Linked DNA regions of Oryctolagus cuniculus. The protein of the gene in region 1 interacts with the protein of each later gene in a biochemical or structural test. Links are inferred from orthologs where the notes say so. Each region holds a gene or a part of one and is shown on either strand. Other genes may lie near its edges.

Region 1 (4,601 bases):
CACGGTTTTGCATCCCTTCAACAGGATGTGGCTCAAGGAGCTGTGGAAGGTTCTAGAAGCCTCGTTCCTGCCAGCCAGGCCAATGCCCCTTGGACTAGCGGCCCATGAGGTTCAGGAGGCGGTGGGGCTGCAGAGAGGCAGGAGGCCCCTCCCTCGTGGCTGCGGCTCAGGCTCAGGCCTTCTGTGGTCAGGAAGGGGTCCTGGGGGTGGCTGCTCCACGGTCTCTGGGGAGCCCCAGCACCCTCCTGACCAGCACGCAAGCAGCCGAGCCCAGGCCCTCGGGTCAGGGCGTCGCCACGCAGTTCTCCCCAGGTGGGAGCTGGCGTGGGTTTCACGGTGGACGTGGCTGCCCAGGCTCTGCACCAGGCCTGCAGCTCAGGAAGAGACCAAGCAGTGAGCCCAGCAGGCAAGGATGCTGCCGGGGACGGGGCTGGGGCCGGGGTCCCCAGGCTGGCGAGGGCGGGCCCTGTGCACAGGGACTTGAGGGAACCCTTCACCGGCCACTCTGGGCCATGGTGCAGCATCCCAGCCCTGCTGCACAGCCAACACACCGCAAGCAGCCAGCCCACGAGAGCCAGGTCCCGGCCACGTGCACAGAAACAGGAGGCGGAAGTGCTGGAGGAGGGAGCTGGAGACCAGAGGGACGAGGCCCTAGACCCTCGAGCCCAGTCCCCTGGTGCCAGCCAAGGTGCCCCAGGCCCTTCCAGGCTCCACAGCTGCCCAACGAGACACAGGATGGCAGGTGATGGCTCAAGTACTGGGGTCCCTCCCGGCACCTACAGGTGCTTGGGGAGCGACCCACCCACCAGCACCTCACTCCCTGTCTCCTCGTTTCTTAGGGAGACAAACTCCTGCCATGCAGGACAGTCCAGGGCCACACTCTGCCCCGGCTCCTGCCGCGGGCCCCACCCTGCGCCCTACCTTCCTTCAGCAGGTCAGTGATGTCGGCCTGGTACCGGTTTCCCACTCGAATCTCTCCTTTGTCCGCCAGGAGGGTCTTCTGCTGGGGGTCGTAGACCAGCGAGTAGAAGAAGAAATCCTGAAACAGCACACACAGGAGCCCCTGCTTGGTCTGTGGGGCCCACAGCTGGGAGCCCCACCCTCGCCTGGGGAACTCTCTGCCCCCCGACACGGGGCAGGGTGTGGAGGGCGCGTCAGGCAAGAGATCCATGCACAAAGCAGGCGCAGGCACGGCACGGCACGGCACGGCAGCTGGGACGCCACCCCACACCCGGCTCAAGCCCAGCTTCCTGACGCACCCTGGGGCAGCAGTGATGGCTCAGGGAACTGGGTCCCACCCGCTGTGGGAGGCCTGGACACAGCACCCCCCATGGGAGGCCTGGACACAGCACCCCCCATGGGAGGCCTGGACTGAGCACCCCCGTGGGAGGCCTGGACACAGCACTCCCCATGGGAGGCCTGGACTGAGCACCCTCGGGTGAGGCCTGGACACAGCACCCCTGTGGGAGGCCTGGACACAGCACCCCCCGTGGGAGGCCTGGACACAGCACCCGTGGAAGGCCTGGACACAGCACCCCCGTGGGAGGCCTGGACACAGCACCCCCCATGGGAGGCCTGGACACAGCACTCCCCGTGGGAGGCCTGGACACAGCACCCCCCGTGGGAGGCCTGGACACAGCACCCCCGTGGGAGGCCTGGACTGAGCACCCCCGGGGGAGGCCTGGACACAGCACCCCCCGTGGGAGGCCTGGACACAGCACCCCCATTTGAGGCCTGGACACAGCACCCCCCGTGGAAGGCCTGGACACAGCACCCCCCGTGGGAGGCCTGGACACAGCACCCCCCGGGGGAGGCCTGGACACAGCACCCCCGTGGGAGGCCTGGACACAGCACCCCCGTGGGAGGCCTGGACACAGCACCCCCGGGGGAGGCCTGGACACAGCACCCCCATGGGAGGCCTGGACACAGCACCCCCGGGGGAGGCCTGGACACAGCACCCCCGTGGGAGGCCTGGACTGAGCTCCTGGCTCTCGCAGGCATCTAAGGAGTGAACCAGCAGACAGAACCAGTCCTGGCTGCCCCACCTCCGGTCCAGCTCCCTGCCAGACGAAGTCCCAGGCCCTGGCTTCGGCCTGACCCAGCCCTGGCTGTCGTGGCCATATGGGGAGTGAACCAGCAGATGGAAGACCTCTCTGTCTCTCTAACTCCACCTTTCAAATAAATCTTTTTTTTTTTTTTTAATTAAATAAAAGGAAGGAGGGAAGGCAAAGCAAGAAGCGCAGTAGTGACGGCGCAGGCGCAGGCGCAGGGTGTGCTCGGGCTGCAGGGTGCCAGTCAGCGGCTCGGGGAGGCCTGATGACGGCCCTCGCTGCACCACGCGTCCCCGCTCAGCAGAGTGCTGAGTCGCCGGGTGAGAAACACGGAGTCCACCTCGGCCTGGCCGCCCTGGAACGCCTGCAACATGACCTGACCTGGTGACGGCTGCTGAGGCCACCACGTCAGCCGTCCATGGCGCTGCCGCCGCCTCTGCGCTCTCCCTGCACGGCTGCCCCACGCGAGGGCAGGGCTCCCAGCACTCAGCACGCATGAGCCAGCACTCGGACCTGCCCGGGCTGTCCTGACACGCTGACACGGCCATCGCCCGCCGGCCCCCGTTCACTGTCCTTGCTCCACGGATGCCTTTCTGCCACGTCCCCAGGGCACCCCACTGACCTCGCCTCTGGGCACGGCCGCCCACGCACGCGTGGTCCCTGCTGGCACTCCTGTTTCTAGGCTTTGCACGTGTCACCCCGGGCTGCTGGACACAAGGCCCTCAGGCCACACGTTCAGCCCAGACAGGCAGAGGCCTGGGAGAGGCTAAGCGCTGGGCCTGCCCCTTACCTGCCCCTAGGTGCTGACCCACACCCTGGCTACTCCAGACTCTGTGTGCCTCAGAAAACCGTGCTGGTGAACTGCCCTGGGGACACCGGGCCGTCACCCAGGAGGTGATGTGGCGAGCAATCCCCACGGCTCACAGGTGCTCCAGTCACCTGCCTCAGGTGCCAGCTGTCCCAGGTCAGCAGGGGTGCAGGCAGCCAGTGCAGATCTGTCCACTGCCTGGGACCAGCTGGGCCTCCTGCACTGACCACGCCCCCTCAGGGAGGGCCTGGCCTTCTGTGGGTGCTGCAGGTGGGCAGGGCTGGACCTGCCCAAGCCAGGCTGAGTCTCACCTCCCGCTCCAGGTAGGACTTGAGGGACTCCGTCTCGTTCAGCAGCGTCACACTGCACTTGCCCCTGTGGAAGAGGAGGATGTGAGGGGAGGGGCAGGTGTGGGGGGCGGGGGCAGGTGTGCACCTACGGGGGGGCAGGTGTGTACATGATGCGGGGAGGGGCAGGTGTGTACCTGACGGGGGGGCAGAGGCAGATGTGCACCTACAGGGGAGGCAGGGGCAGGTGTGTACCCGATGGGGGGAGCAGGTGTGCACCTGACAGGAGGCAGAGGCAGGTATGCACCTATGGGGGGTCGGGGGCAGGTGTGTACCTGATGGGGGGCAGGGGCAGGTGTATACCTGACAGGGGGGCAGGGGCAGGTGTGTACCTGACAGGGGGGGCAGAGGCAGGTGTGTACCTGATGGGGGGGGCAGGTGTGCACCTGACGGGGGGGGGCGGAGGCAGGTGTGTACCTGATGGGGGGGCAGCGGCAGGTGTGTACTTGATGGGGGGGGCAGCGGCAGGTGTGTACCTGACGGGGGGAGGGGCAGGTGTGCACCTGACGGGGGGGCAGGGGCAGGTGTGCACCTGACGGGGGGGAGGGGCAGGTGTGCACCTGATGTGGGTGGCAGGCAGCGACTCCAGCTGCCGAGACAGGAACAGCTCTCGGTGCCGCAACTGGTGCCTGAGCCGGTCGGGCAGCTCCTCCTCCACTTCCGGGCTCTCGGCCTCCTCCTCTGCTTCCCCTGTAGGACAAGAGCCCTCAGGACCGCCCTGCCCACGCAGGGTGGCCCCAGGCCCCTGCCCACCCCAAGGAGCCACAGTGCCCGTTCTTGTCCAAGCACCCTGAAGGCTGGGCTCTCCCCTGGGCATCAGGGGAAGGAGGTGGGGACAGGAGTCCGGCGCTGGCAGAGGAAGCAGCAGGAAAGGAGGAAAGAGGAGCAGCTGCCAGGCGGCTGGCACCGCGGTGAGCAGCAGGTGCCACGTGTCCCAGCCCCGTGGCCAGGCGGCCCCGCATGGCCGCAGCAGGGCCCGCTGCAGCTGCAGGACACCCTCGGGGCCGGGCTGCATGCAGGCGGCCTGCGCAGGTTCCGCCCGGGGCAGGCGCGAGGATGCGTCCTCACAGAGGGCAGCTCTTACCTTCCTCGCCGCTGTCGGCGCCCGGTCCGGCTTTATGGCAGACTGACAAGGCTATGCAACAGACAGACAGCGCCCAGGCGGCAGTGTCAGCGCCGCGGCCACTCTCTCCCTGCCCGGGCCTGACCCAGGGCTGCGTGGCCAGGGGGCAGGGCGGACACGGGGGCCACAGGCCTCCTAGTGGGCCCCAGCCCACCCCAGTGCCCCAGCCCCTTCGGGCAGAGCCCTGACAAGCTGTCACTAAGAACCCCTCCTGTACACACTCCCACCTCCCCAGCTGGGAGCGAGACCTCCAGAGCCTGCCCCTGGACACC
Region 2 (5,220 bases), on another chromosome or scaffold:
CTCACACTCTCGCTCAGTCTCCTTCCTTTTCTCTCCTTTTTGTCCCCCGCCCAAAATAATTTGCCCTGTACCTGTCCATTCAGGTAACCAAAGGTGCCTTTTGCTACCCTGCCTAGGAAAAGTTTTTTTGGGGAACTGTATGGCTGAAATAAAAACTCGTCCAAGGGAAAGCTTCTGCTGTATTTTTGCATCTACTTCCAAATCATTATAGTCAGTAATTAAAACTTGGCAAATACCTGTTAATAATTACAAAACTTGATCGATGCAAACCTACCAAATTTCGGGGGCCAGTCTTGCTGTTAGACATGGCAGTGCTGCCTCTCCCACCGGGGAAGGCTGTTTTCTAAGCAGAAAGTTGCCTGTTTTTGTCTGCTTAGCGAGTTTCATTTCTTTATTTCATTCTGTGTGTGTGTATGTGTGTGAAGTAACACCTCACTTCTGTGATAATAAATAAAGAAGTGAAAGTCCTCATGGAACTTGAGTCCTTTACCAAAGTGGAAGGGGGGGGCTCACTACAGCTGGGAAGAAAAGTACTTCAGGATATCTGGGTTTTAAATAAGCCTAACTTTTGAAATTGTATTTTAAATGGCAAAGTCTCATAGCCATAGATTTAATAGGAGACACACATACACACATATATCCCATTCTACACTTTGGCACTGGAAAGTCGAGGGAGAGATAGCAGGAGTTCCCAGGAAGAGTGGTGAGCCCTGCGAACATGAATGTGTTTATCTTCCACCTTCTCATATATTTTACATGCTCCTCCTGTAATGAGGAGGGCACGATTGCTAACTCCAGAGTTAGGAATAACAGGCAAAGATAAAGTTTATAGCACAAATGCCCTGTCTCTCCCTCACACACCCATGCTCATAAAGCTAACAACTTACTTTATTAAACATGTATTTATATTCAATCGCGTGTAAGTCTCAGCATGAATACAGACAGGCCAGCTGCTTGGTCCCAGACACTTGTGTGACCATTTCTTTATTTCAGGATTCCTCTCCCCCACCCTCACCCCAATTTCAACTCAACAGGACAGGCAAGAAATGATAAAATGTGTCAAACTTCAATGAAACGTCTCCTACTGTATATGCTTAGGTAAATTTAAGGTGCTTTCTGAAACATCCACTTCCCCTTCTCTCCGCACCCCCCCTCCCCTCTCAGCAAACGTGTGGAAACTGATACTCACTTTCCAGGTTTTCCGCAAAGCTGCTCGCACAGGAGACAATAGGTGCGGGGCGTGGGGACCGAGTGTGCTCGGCAGAGAAAGGGTTAATGGCCCTTGTGTTACAGTTTGCATCTGTTACATCTTTTATAGCCCCCTGTTTAAACTAATCCTGGAGGCACAGCATCTTCCCAACCTCCACCGAGTTTCAGGATTCTCCTCCTCTGCTGCCTGCCTCCGAGTCCCCTTTCTCCAAGTTTTGACAGTTTCAGCTGAAAACATGCAGCGCCTCTCTCGATTTTTAGGTACAAAAGTTTCGAAGCCAGAAAGGATACGATCATTTAGGACAGCTTAAAAGTCTTGCCGTGCTGGTTGGACTTTCTCTTTCCTTTCTTGGGGGGGGGGGGGGGGGAGAAAAAGCAACATTTCTGCTGGAACTATTTATGGGAACCAGCGTGGGGGAGTATGTGTGCGAGTGAGGTGGGGGCAAATACTTAAGCAAATATTGTCAAAGTGGCGGGGTGGGGGGGGGAGGGACGGTGTCCAAAGAGGCTTATAATTATATTTCTTATTGCGGCGGAGAATGGGAAATCTTAATTTGGGGGCAGAGGGCTGGGGGAGGAAGAGACGGTGCCTCGCTGAACTCTGAGAGGAGAGGGAAGGGGAGGGGGCGCGGGGCGAGTGGGCTTCCTATAATTACTATTATCAATTTGCCCGAGTGTTCTTCATCCAGGGGCTGTTTCGCGTTGTTTGTTTGTTTCTTTCTTTCCTCTCGGGAAATGGGGCGGCGGGGGGCGGGGGGGTGGCGGTGGCGGTGGCGGTGGCGGTGGTGGCGGCGGTGGCGGTGGTGGTGGTGGCGGTGGGAGAGAATGAGGAAAGATGAGAGCGAAAGAAAGCCTCGCCTCACCCCAAGTTCCCGAGCCGGGCTGAGCACTTTTCGGAGCAAAGGGTCCGCCTAGCCCTGGGTCGGGCAGTCTTACTGTACCGCCGTGTGCATTCCCTCATACGGTCAGGAGTTATGACTCATTTCGAAGATGTAATTCTTGTCTCTGTGATCCCCTCGCGGGTGCAACACACCAAACAGTAACAAACACAAAGCGCCGCAGGGCCACGGCTGGGGGCGGGGGGCGGGGAGGGGGCCGCCGAAGTTTCGCTTTGGCGTTGGGGGGCGCGGATGGGTGCTCGCCGGGGCCCTGGCCCGGCTCCCCGGGGCGGCCCGCGCGCGTTTCAATGGGCGCGGGCGATGCCCACATTGTCGCTGTGTTTGGTTGCTAGATCGAGCCTGCGTGCTGCCGAAGCAGGGCGCCGAGTCCATGCGAACTGCCATCTGATCCGCTCTTATCAATGAAGCAGCCGATCATGGCGGATGGCCCCCGGTGCAAGAGGCGCAAACAAGCCAATCCCAGGAGGAAAAACGGTAAGAAGCGGCCCGAACCAAACTTTTCCGGGCCACTCCGCGGCTCCAGACCCAGGGAGAAGGAGGGGGAAAGGGAAAAGGAACCGAGGCGGCGGCGGCGGCGGCGGCTGCGCCCGGGGCTCGCGGGCGAGCCTCCCTCCGCGGCCGGCGCCGGAGCCCGGCGCGCGCGCGCGGCGGCCGGACCCGGGGGGAGTTGGGGAAGTGCGGGGCAAAGTGAGCGTCGGGCGCCCGGGGGGCTCCGAGCGCCGGGGTCCGGCCGCAGTCCCGCGCCCCCAGCCCCGCGCCCCTTCGCGCTCCCGCCTCCGCCCTCCCTCCGCCTCCGCCTCCCGCTCCGCTCGCGCTCGGCCGGCCCGCTGGGTCCCCGGCCCGGCTGCGGGAGTGTCCGGCGAGGGCAGGGCGGGGGCTTGGGCGCCAGGTCGCGCAGGATCCCGGGGCGGAGGCGAGGGTGGCAGCGGGACCGCAAGGGCGGAAGAGAGGACCCGGGGCTTCGTCTTAGTGAGGCTTAAAGTTTCTTGCCGGAGTCGCCCGGCCGCCTCTCCGTGCGCCAAGTAACGGTCCGCGGGCAGCGGGGCCCGGTCCGGCGCGCCCGGACCCCAGGGTGGGGTGGGAGGGACTCGGCCGGCCCTGCTCGGGGTCCGGGGTCGGTGCGGGTCGGGCACGGTGTGGGGGGGGCTCCTCTCCCGCAGGCGCTGGTCCCCGCGCTGGGGGCTGGGGGAGTCGCAGGGCGCTGCGAGACTTTTTCCGGGCAGTCTGTACATGGCCAGGAGGAGCCCGTTATCCAGGCTGAGTCAGGAAGGAGGAAGGCGATGGGGGTGCGAAGGGGACACACAGACACACACTGGGGGTGGGAGATGCAAGGCGGGTGACAGTTTAGTAGGTCCCTCGTGGAGCGAGCCAGAGAAGCTACGAGAGAGCGAGAGAGAGAGCGAGCGAGCGAGAGAGACCCCCCTAGGTATTACCCCAAACAAAATCGTGGGAATAAAAGAGAAAAGTGATTGGCAAGAGCGCCGAAGGCGCCTGGGGGAGGGGAAAGGGCTGGGGACGAGCGAGGGTGCGGGGGGGGGGGGGGAAGCTGACGGAGGATACTGAGTTTAAAAAGAAAAAAAAAAACCAACCCCCCAAAACAAACACGAGAACCCGCGCCAGCCCAGACTCGGAAAGGAAACTTCTCGTTCCCTTCGCTCGCAGCCGGATCCCCCAGCGCGGGGCCGCGTAGACGCTCCCGAGCTGGGCGCGGGGTCGCAGCGCCCGCTCGGCCTCCCGGCCTCCTGCAATCCCAGCCCTCTCCTGGCCGGGCCCGCCGGGGCCCACTTGAAGCAACTTTCCTCAGGGGAAGACGAGGGTGCGCGCCCCGGCCTGGCCCCGCGCGGCGCAGCGCGGCGTGGGGAGGGGGCGACTGGGGGCGCAGAGCGGGTGCTGGAGGGAGAGGAACACAAAGACGGGAGAATTTTGATTAGAGACAAATGATGCTTCTCTCTCTCTCCCTTCTCTCTCTCTCTCTCTCTCTCTCTCTCTCTCTCTCGTGTGTGTGTGTGTGTGTGTGTCTTTTGCTTGTTGTGGTGGAGGTGTCGAGCCATATGGGGGAGTGATAGAGGAATTTTAGACAGAAACTGTTTGTTACGTTATCCTGCCTTTCCTCTTTGTGCTGTCTTTGATCTATTTGCTTGGCTTAGTATGACAAAAAAAAAAAAAAAAAGTACAATGATAGATTCGGAGCTGCTTCCCCAAGCTTTCAGTTCAGGCTGCTGCTTTTTAAGTGTGCATCCCTCTCTATCTTTTAATCTAATTTTTTTCTTCATTCTGGTGTCTGGCATTATTTAAGGTGGTCTTTCCACAGCAGACCTCCCCTTCTCCATCTCTGGGTAATTTAGTAGACATTAAAATTATACCTAATGTCCCCCTCTCCTCTCTCGTGTTTCCTCTGCTCCTTTTATTAAATGTTGGTTATTGATTTTCTAAAATCAATGTCTGTTGTGGGGTTTTCCCCCCTCTTACAAGTATCTAAAGCACGTTGCTGATCAACTGGATAACAAAAGCTTTGTGTCAAGGAGACATTTTTTTCTTATGTTAAACAGTCATTTTTAGAGAAAGAGAGAATGAGATTTAAAGCAAGGCTCCCAGAAGTGTTCTTTTGCAAGGAAGACTGTTCTCCCTGCCTTCTTTCCACCCCCTTCGGGATTTTGCCACCGATGACTGGTCTTGCTTCAGCAGTGTGGTGAGGCCAGAGCTCAGGACTGGGAAAGTAGAGGGATTCTGGCTTCCTGGGAACCCCTGGGGGGTGCCAGCTGAGTGGGAGGCCCGTCAGGGGGCTTTACTGGTAGAATGGTGTACCAGGGAGGTGCTCAGTCCTGGACTTGAGAAACCGTTTCTCCTGCACCCAGCCGTCAGGTTGGGAGAAGCTTCCACACTCCAAAGTGGAAAGTTGAATTGCACGTTTTAAGGCATTTATCCCAGCCCCTGCACACTGAACATCAAGCCCGGCTATTGCTTATAGCTATTCTAACTTTGACTATTACATGTCTTTATCCCCAAAGAATCTCTGGGAAAACATGCTGTAAATTGGTTACTTGTCAGTATTTTTCATTGGGTTTAATCGGACTGAGAAAGGTCCTGGCTTTGAGGAGCAGGTAGAAGAGTT
Region 3 (5,181 bases), about 38 Mb from region 1:
GCTATTATAATCCCCATCTTACAATGAGCAAACTGAGGTACAGAGGTTAGCTGATTTGCTAGGCCGTGTCAGAGTCTGTATGCAAACTCACTCTAGATTCTGAGGCCAGCGTTCTCAACACCATATTTTCAGAATGTTAAAACATTTGTAATTTAAGTTATTCTTTCCCTACTTAAAAAAAGAAATCATAAGTAACTATGATTTTTTTTTCCAGGCATACCCCATGGTTGTTCTGGATAACACATAGCATTTAGTGCTGTCAATCTGAAAAAACAAAAATAGCATTAGCATCAATCCTTATGGGTCTACTGACCAGTTCAAGTGGCTTCTCCTAGCAGGGTCAGACGCTGTGTTAGCCGGGCTGGTGATTCACACACTTGAAATCCTCCACAGGCAGATATCCACATCACGCAACAACCAGCGCAGAGTTAGACTGTGACAACCAGGCAAAGGTGCAGTAAAATACCCTGATGTCCACCGGGGAGGGATACGCAGTGGCTCTTTGTGGAGCTCAAAATATGTTTTTTTTTTTTTTAAAGACTTGAGAGGCTTGAAATGTATGGTTCTAAAGACAAAAAAGTGCTTAAGTTTTGTTCCGTAACTCGCAGTCCTGTCAGCAAACAGGCAGTGCTAGCCAGCACCGTCGTGCCCGGTTCCTTCCAACCCGGCGGGCTCTGGCCCATGCCCCGGAGGCAGCCTGGGTTCCGGACTCGGTCTACACCGCGAACGCAACTCAAGGAGACTCTTCTGAATCCACGCAAGATCGTCTTGCAAAAGCGCTAAGAAAGCACAAAGAAAAGTGTGCCTAAAGCCATTTTTCCGACCCTCCCTGAAATGCAGGTTTATATATTCTCGCTTCTGAAAGCCGTTTCTACAGTAACTTCACACCTTCCTTCCTCGGAGAGAGGCGTGCAACAACGGGTCTGTGAGGTTTTCCCTGGCATTAACTTAAACAAGTTCGCGACAGAACGCCTCAGGGGCCCCGCGGGGTCCCCCGTGCCGTGCGGCAGAGCGCGGGCAGCCTGGCAGGAAGGCCGCGCCGCAACGCGTCCGAGCGGGGAGACCCGGGGGGCTCGCGCCCAAGCCGCCAGGGCTGCGCTTTCCCACAGGGAACTCGGCTACGCCGCCTGAGGGGAGCGCGGGAGCGGGAAAACGTGATGCAACCTCGGGCCCGGGCAGCCGCCAACTCCCCTCAGCAGCGCCTCCCGCAAGCCCGCCGCCGCCGTCCCCAGCGGCAGGCGCTGGGTGCCCCCTAGTCCCGGCGCAGACGCACCCCCCAACGCCTTTCTCTCCGCCCCGGCCGCACACAGACGGGCACGTGAGCGCCGCGGCGCGTCCCAGCTGTGCCTCAGCTGAGCGCCTCCGGATTGGCTGAGAGCGACGTGGGCTGGGGTGGGCACTGGCCGCCTGCGTCGCTCGCCATTGGCTCCCGAGCAGCCCGCCTCCCCCTCAGGTGAGGCGGGCCTGCGGGGGCGCGCGCGCGCGCGCTGGGCTCGGCGGGCAGGCGAGGGGCGGGGGCGCGCGCTCCCGCCCCGCCCCTCCCCTCCCCGCGCGGCCGGGCGCGCCTCCGCCCTTGCCCGCCCCCTGCCCGCTGCCTCAGCTCCGCCGAGCGCAGAGCCGCCTCGTCTGAGGGGACGCGAGGACCGTCCTCGCTGCCGAGTGGGCCCAGCGCGTCGGGCCGGGCCGTGACAAGCAGCCTGCGCGGAGGCTCGCGCCGGACTCCGCGCTCGCCGCCCCGCTCTGCTCTGCGAGGAGCTTCCCGCCTCGCACCCCTCCCCCGCCGCCGCCCCCACCCGGACTTGCTCTGCTCTCTCCGCGTGTGCAGGGAGCCGGCGCTTAGGCCGGAGCGAGCCTGGGGGCCGCCGGCCGGGAAGGCATCGCGGAGACCGAATCGCCATGGAGGGCGCCGGCGGCGCGAACGACAAGAAAAAGTAAGCCCCTTCCCCGCCCGCCCGCCCGCCGGGCCGCGGCGCTCCCGGGGTGGGTCGCTGGGCGGGCGGGGGTCGCCCGGCCTTTTTTTTTGTTGTTTCTGCCTCCTCTCCCCTCCCCTCTCTTTCCCCCAACCTCGCCGGCCGGGCTCCCCCGCTGTCCACGTCGCCATCTTGTCGTGGGGGGTGGGAGACGCCTCGAAAGTGCTTCCAGGGGGCCGGGGGTCTGCACGCCGCCGCCGCCGCCGCCCCCAGCCGGGGCTGCGGGGGTCCTCGCGCCGCCCCCCGCGCCCGCCGCGGAGCCCCAGCCTTGCGGCGCGGCCCCGTCCGGAGGGGACTTCGCCCCAGCCTGGAAGCCGAGCCCGCAGCTCGGCGCCGCCGCTCGCACCCGGAGCTTCCGCTCCCTCCCGGTGGCGGGGAAGGCGCGGGCCGGGCGCCCCGCACGCTGGCCGCGGCTCGCCGGCGGGTGCGGGGCCCCGGCGGCCGCGGCTGGGCTGGCCCTTGCGGCGGTCCCGCCGCGGCGGGTGTCGCTGCCTTTGTGCCGTGGTGGGGGGATTGGCCGCGGCGGCCTTCGGATGCTAACTTTTTAGTTTGCACGTGCAGGTTTTGTTTTTCGTTTTGTTGTTTTAATCGGCTGGAAAAACTTGCCCAGACTTGGGAGTCGGAGTAACGGGAATTGGGGGGCACATCGCCAGGCTGTAGCGGGAACTTGGGAAGTGGAGACTTGGGATCCAGGGAGCCCAGACGATGAGCAGGAATCCGTGCCTCATTCATTCCCGAAAATATCTTGGTGAAAATGTAACGGGCGGCTTCGATTTAGGCAGACAGTGTCAGTGAGGTTGAAAAGCGAAGTAGATGACCGGAGCAAACGAAATGCAACACTAAAGTGTTGGAGGATTTTTTTTTTTTCAGAACTGTCTCGTTTTCCTGATATTTTAATATATTTGAAGGAAACCATCAGCACATATCCAGATTGTGTTGGGACTTAAAGCAAGTTTATTGAACAGCGTGAAGTGTAAGAGGGGTACATTATAGAAAGATTAAGAATGGTGGAACCCGTGGTATTTACAGTACCCCCCTCCCTATTTTCTCCACTTTGGTATTTTCACCGTTGAGGAAATTATTTTAAGGAATTGAGGATTTATATAGTAGGAGTAGTAACGTAGGCTGGCTTTACTGTTAAGTCCTTCCACTCTTATGGGAGAGATTAACTTCTCTAATCAGTATGAGCGGAAGATAAACTTGTTTATATCCTTGCTGTTTTGTAGATTCTTTATCTTGGTCCCTATTCAATAGAATGTAAAATTCTCAGTTTATATACACCGGGGAGAGAGCACTTACACAATTTAAAACATGAGCACACAAGTCTAGATTTAATTTCAAGAGTTAACCAGGAATTAATTGCAATTAATTTTGCAGAAGTGATTACAGTGTTTTTGATGAAATGAAGAGGCTGCTATATTGTAAACCAAAGGCAGATTACCTCTGTGTAGTGCCAATTTTCCGTCCTTATTATATACTGAATCATAGTTACCACAATGCATTAGGTTGTGTACCAGTCACTTCCTTTTTATATGTAATACTTTACTGATTTCTTCTTTGCTATTCTTCAGTTAATACCAGAAGCCACTGTAAAATAAGTGAGTGAATAAATTAGCAACTACTGCGCACCAGCCCCAGCGCTAAATGAATTCTTTGGTTTTCCCCATTCCCATTGTTATTTTCAAAATTTTCTCATTTGAAAACTTAACCACCTGGGATCGAATGTAGTCGTAACACTTAATATGGAGATTCTTAATATAACTGAAATTTTAAGTTAAACAGTAAATAGTGATTACTCAGCAACTTTTGGATGATGTTAATTAAAAATGCCCTTTCCTGACTAATATTTCTTCAAGTTTTTGAAAGGTAACAGATTGAGGTGGAGATTTTCTTCTTGGAATTTTCCCAGTTTTAGAGGAGGACAAGGCAGCTGAAAATCAGAATTGAAAGAAATCAGAGCAGAGTGGTGTGGTTGTAATAGATTTAACAGGGAGTTTCATGTTGATTCCTTAGTTGTAGGTGCTGGACTTACTGAGAGCACAAGGATAATAGGGGTTTTTAGATTCAAAAGGAATGGCAGGAGGTTCTGTTTTTAGGCTTCAGGTCAGGTTCCTTCAGAGTTTTCCAAAACAAATAATTACTGGAGCATTGTAGTGAAATCTCTGAGAATAAACATTTCTAAATTTTCTTTTTTAACCTTGGCCACTAAGAGTCATTTATTAGTAAACTTTTGTTGTTGCAGTTTGACTTGTTTATAACAGCAGCAGGGCTAGAGATGAAGAGTGTAGAAGCTGGAGGCCTGAATCTCTGAGTTAGAGTGCCAGCCTTTCCACTTGTGAATTGGGCAAGTCCTGAATGCGTCCATGCCTAACTTTTCCTTTTGATGATAAGAAGCAGCCATCTTAACAGTTAATATGTATGGGAAATGAGATCATGCATGTAGAACACTTAGCCCAGGGTCGGGAATGGGGGAGTCTTGGTAACAGTTTGTGTACTTCCTAGTAAATGTTACCTGTTTAAGCTTTAAGTTTGAACTTCCACCACCCTTAAAATGCTTTTTGTAAGTTCTTCCAAATATTTCTTTCAGTTTCTCTTCTGTCTTCATGCATCTTTTCTGTATCTCCAAAAAATGAAAAAACTAACATTCAATTTGGATCTTGAAAAGAGTTCTTTCCTGTTAAAACAGCACCTCCAGGGCTACATTGGCATCTAGCATCAGTTGCTTTTCTTGAACATCTGCCCTGCACTCTACAGCTTCTCACCCTGTGTTTTCTCCCCATATGCGCCATTTTGAATTTACTCTGGACCCTGCAGTCATAACACATATACAGGTCATACTGTTCATTCCAGTAGGGCACTGCAGTTGTAGCACTGGCAGCAACGTTTTTTGTCTTGATGCCAAAATTTAGAGTATATGGTTTTATAAATATTAATCCTTGTTAAAGATAGTTGATAAAAATACTCTCAGTAAAGCACCCATAAAGAAAACTCCTTTTCTTATGAATTTCTCTAGAGTTAAGGCTATTGGCTTCCATTTCAAGACAAGGCTTAAGGGCAGTACTTTTGATCTGATTTTTGTGATTTTTGGAAGTGTATATTAATGTACACTTGCACATGTATGTGTTTTATCAAACATGTTTTAGACTGATGAAAGTGTTGCAGTTCACTCCCACAATCCACTGAAAAGTACCTTACCAGTTCTGAGAAAGTC
Region 4 (4,601 bases), on another chromosome or scaffold:
CTTTTCCCCCTAATTATTGAAAAAAGTCCTTTTAATTTACTACTTAAACGATACTGATTTATAGAAGTAGTCTGATAGTTGTATGTCAAAAATAACTTTTTTTTCTTTTTTTAAAGATTTATTTATTTGTAAGTCAGAGTTACACATAGAGATGAGAGGCAGAGAGAGAGGGAGGGAGGGAGAGAGGGAGGTCGGTCTTCCATCCACTGGGCCACTCCCTAATTGGTCGCAATGGCTGGAGCTGCGCCAATCTGAAGCCAGGAGCCAGGAGCTTCTTCTGGGTTTCCCAAGTGGGTGCAGGGGCCCAAGGACTTAGGCCATCTTCTACTGCTTTCCTAGGGAATAGCAGAGAGCTGGATCAGAAGTGGAGCAGCTGGGTCTTGAACCGGCGTCCATATGGAATGCCAGCACCTCAGGCCAGGGCGTTAACCCACTGTGCCACAGCGCCACCCCCCAATAATAACTATTATAATTTTATTTTATAGCATCTATTAAACACACACACACACACACACACACACACTGGTATGTCAGAGCCAGATTCTATTCTAATGGTTCACCAAACCTGCTACTAAATTTCAGGAGTTTTCTACGCTACCTGACTCCAGAGAAGTGTCCTGAAGTTTGTTATGGTGATAATATTTACACCATGGAGACTGGCAAAAGCTACAAATCCAAACTCCTTTTTTTTTTCTTTTGGAGAGCCAGTTGTTAAACCTTAAGCATTTATTTAAGTGAAATAAAAAGATATTATCTTTGAAGTTGGTTTTTGTATAAAAGTTTCTGTGGAAAAAAAGCGAAACTAATATTTTCATTCATGTTTTCAGGTATACGGAAAGACCGAAGAGGAGGGAGAATGTTGAAACACAAGCGCCAGAGAGATGATGGGGAAGGCAGGAATGAAACAGGGCCCCCTGGAGACATGAGGGCTGCCAACCTCTGGCCAAGCCCTCTGTTGATCAAGCACACTAAGAAGAATAGCCCAGCCTTGTCTCTGACGGCCGATCAGATGGTCAGTGCCTTGTTGGAAGCTGAGCCCCCCATCATCTATTCTGAGTACGACCCTACCAGACCCTTCAGTGAGGCCTCGATGATGGGCCTACTGACCAACTTGGCAGACAGAGAGCTAGTTCACATGATCAACTGGGCAAAGAGGGTTCCAGGTAAGAAGACTAAGTTCATTTTTATTTTGATTCAACAGCTTTTCAAGGATTGGTTGTGATGGCATGGGAGAAACTGTAGGAGACAAGGAAGTAATTCCTTACTATTCCATTGATTTCAAGGCTGCATCATAATTTCTTAATATTTAATATCAGTGCACTGTGATTCTCTTAGAAATCAGAAAACAATCTTTTATAATCAAAATATAGACAGTTAAAAAGCATTACTTTGACATAATTTAAGTATTTTCAACCCAGAGTATTTGCCAAAAAGATTTAAGGTGGACCCTACATGATAAATACATTCACTATCATATGTTCACAGTTTTTCAGAAGAGTTTAACATTAAATGAGCCACAACATTTTTTAAATATTGAGAACTATTTTTCCAAAATACTTCAATTACTAATAAGCATTTTACCTTTAAAATCTTTTCTGTGGACTAAGGCAATAATGATAGGTTTATGAACTGTGCCAATTATTTATCTAACATGGTTTTTACTTAGTATTTTAGGAGAAAGGGAACTAAAATAGAAAAATCAATTAGAGTTTTATCCTAGAGAAGAGCTGGTACAAAGACACAATGGTTCAAGTGATGCTTTTGTCCTCACATTGATTTTTCTCAGAAGTGGTGTTTCTGTAAAACTTGACTGCTGTTCTTGTTGATCGGAGAGAATAACTCTAGTTATTATGGAAACAAGACTAGGAAATGACCTTCTCCACAGCCCAGTATACCCATTCAGGAATTAATAAGGATAAAACCAAGTGGGAGGAAGTTAAATCTCTTTTCTGGACTCACGGGGCAAGTGAGAGATGGATTTATATAGAGATTTGCTCATTTGATTCATTTTCATGAGTGAAACTATTGCCTTTAATTAATGGATATTTTAAGTGAACCGAAAGATATAGAGTATGGTGTTTGTACTTCAAGAGTCACTGATATGAGATAGACCAAGTGAATATATGTCTGGCCTCAGAGATTCTCACCTGTGTTTTTTATAAACCAAGATATAAGCATGCAGCCCTTTAAATGGGGGTGGGGTGGGAGACCAGGTCTGAGATCCACTTGTTGGAAGGCATCTGCATATGTGAATGGAGTGGTGGATATTGGGTTGCTTGAAAGCATGGGTAATAATGGGCAAATTTGGGTTTTCAAAGTCAGTCCAACTGGCAAACAAAAACTCCTGGTCATTTTTTGGCTTAAGAGTTTCCTCGTTCACCTACATGTTCTAGCATTCTTAACGAAGCAGATACATTAAATGCACATATTGGGATCTAAACTTAATATGGCTATAGATTTTTTTCCTTTATATTTGCTATGCTCTTGTTTTTATCCTTTGGGAGAAGAGAAACAAGCAAAGAAAAAAACTAATGGCCACATCCCTGACAGCCAAGTGTGGTTACTGTTAAGTTTTATTGTCCTGTTAGCATATATTTTTCCCTCATGAAATCTTGGCCTGCTGAATACAAGATTACATTTTTCATACTTATCAGTAGATTCCCATCCTGCTATTATTATAATTATAAAACTTTGAAGAGCATTTGAAGTAACTCAAAGTAAGTTAAAATACATTACTAGTGGATGAAAGAATTCATGACAATTATCTTCTGAATTCAGGAATAAAAGTGGAGACATAAATCAGGGAAGGAAGAAATAATAACCAGGCATAACCATCCTACTGATAAGCCCAGAACTAGACAAATTTATGGAAATAAATTCTATAGAACATCATGGCGTTCATTTAAAAGACCTGGATGATTCAAAAATCCTTGGACCAAATTACATCTTGTTATTTGTTGATTTGGATAACTATAAAGATGAAAATTCAGTTATATATATATACATGTTTGTATGTGTGTGTGTGTATGTGTGTGTGCCACTGAAATACAGCTGTTGAACATCAAAAGACTTCTTTCCTGACCAAGCAAATTAAAACTTGCCATTGATTTAAAAAAGATGAAAAATGAGGAAAGAAAAATGTTTTCTGCAAGGACTATGAAGAAGAATGTCTTCAGAACATTTGACAAAGCCACATAGATCCAAATACCCTCTGTTATTTAAACAAATAGCTTTCAATAAAATCTAATATAGACAATATTATATTTTTGTGGTAATCATTTGATAATTATAATAGCAACTTGTAGAGGAGGGAATGAAATATATCATTGGCAAGAAGAATAACAAGGAAGCCAGTTCTAAAAGTCCCTGTGATTAGCTAAATGACACAAAAACCTGCAGAGGATATTGGGATAATTCTTAGGATGACTGTGAATTGAACTGAAGTTTTGAATTAATTTAATTTTAAATGACAAAATTTAATTAACACTTTTGAGCAACCAGTATAGTAGTCATAGACCATGTTTTTTACTAACAATATTGTCAGAATTGTAAACATGATTATAAGTTGAATTTTCCTTTCTCTTGATGTTTGCAAGTTATGTCTTTACTTGATATTTCTCTTTCCTAAGAATTTAGATATGGAGAGCATAATACAATCATAAAACATAATCATTCATAATACCATCACATTATGATAGACAAGCTCCTCTGTAAAGTACATGTGTAAGATCTGAACAAAGACAGAAGTAAGAACTTATTTTTTTCCTTTTGTGATTTATAAACCACAGAGGCAACAAGAAACATAAAATTTACTCAGCCAGCTCCGAGAAGGATTTTTAAGTAGCCTGTGTTGTATATTTACTCCTTGATATTTAGTTGTAGAGAAGGCTTTTCTCTTTTCAGTTTGCTTTGAAATCTATGTGTATTGGCATTTTATAATCTGTGGTTGGAGATTTAGTATTAAGCAATCAAGTTATGAAATCTTAATTTATTATTATCTTACACATAGTGAATCTAGTGAGTAAATGTTAACTCATTTAACTGAGGCTCAAATAAGGAAAAACACTATGACTGCCAAAAGCGTTTCATCTTTAATTTCTGCATCATTGAGTGGTGGATTCTTAGTTCTGGTGTTAATGAAATACATCTGATTTTTTTCAGCAGGAGCTCAAAATGCGTCACCAAAATGTCACTTCGAATTGTTAAAAATTAAGTGTTTCTCAAAGTTCACTATAATTTTACATAGTTCAAAAGGCACTCCATTTGTCAAATTTGTGTCCTGGGTCTATATTTAAGTCAAGATTTGAGGAGAAGTCTAGTCCTGGGCTTGTTATTGCCTCATGGAGGGTTGAGCCCAGGACTGGGAGGGAAATTGGCTGGGTGAGCTGGAGATGTGCTACCTTCGCCACTTCCTTTCTGTTAGTGGCAAGCCAAACAACCTTTTCCTTCCCCTTTCCTACCAATGCCCTCTTGATCCAGTGCTAGGGGCGTCCCTAATCCCCAGCTCCACACCATTTTACCTTAGATTCCTTCCTTGCTCAGTGTTGGCCATGGACCCAGGATCCACTTTTTCTGGACATGCCTGCAACCATCTCCAAGCT

The links.
Region 2: the proteins of MTA1 (region 1) and ZEB2 form a complex in vitro, tested with the Homo sapiens proteins (2 studies listed by BioGRID and IntAct). The link is inferred for Oryctolagus cuniculus from reciprocal best matches to the Homo sapiens genes MTA1 and ZEB2.
Region 3: the proteins of MTA1 (region 1) and HIF1A form a complex in vitro, tested with the Homo sapiens proteins (2 studies listed by BioGRID). The link is inferred for Oryctolagus cuniculus from reciprocal best matches to the Homo sapiens genes MTA1 and HIF1A.
Region 4: the proteins of MTA1 (region 1) and ESR1 form a complex in vitro, tested with the Homo sapiens proteins (4 studies listed by BioGRID). The link is inferred for Oryctolagus cuniculus from reciprocal best matches to the Homo sapiens genes MTA1 and ESR1.

Annotation. Positions count from the first base shown.
Region 1 is NC_091451.1:47,289,054-47,293,654, reverse strand, and holds part of MTA1 (metastasis-associated protein MTA1), read right to left. Parts: intron 4,342-4,601; coding exon 4,291-4,341; intron 3,897-4,290; coding exon 3,767-3,896; intron 3,235-3,766; coding exon 3,171-3,234; intron 1,040-3,170; coding exon 922-1,039; intron 1-921. UniProt on the Homo sapiens protein: Transcriptional coregulator which can act as both a transcriptional corepressor and coactivator. Acts as a component of the histone deacetylase NuRD complex which participates in the remodeling of chromatin.
Region 2 is NC_091434.1:97,911,681-97,916,900, forward strand, and holds the start of ZEB2 (zinc finger E-box-binding homeobox 2), read left to right. Parts: upstream 1-2,133; 5' UTR 2,134-2,183; coding exon 2,184-2,201; exon of another isoform or gene 2,202-2,248; intron 2,249-2,440; coding exon 2,441-2,582; intron 2,583-5,220. UniProt on the Homo sapiens protein: Transcriptional inhibitor that binds to DNA sequence 5'-CACCT-3' in different promoters. Represses transcription of E-cadherin. Represses expression of MEOX2.
Region 3 is NC_091451.1:8,816,266-8,821,446, reverse strand, and holds the start of HIF1A (hypoxia-inducible factor 1-alpha), read left to right. Parts: upstream 1-1,797; 5' UTR 1,798-1,896; coding exon 1,897-1,931; intron 1,932-5,181.
Region 4 is NC_091436.1:15,939,361-15,943,961, reverse strand, and holds part of ESR1 (estrogen receptor), read left to right. Parts: intron 1-827; coding exon 828-1,163; intron 1,164-4,601.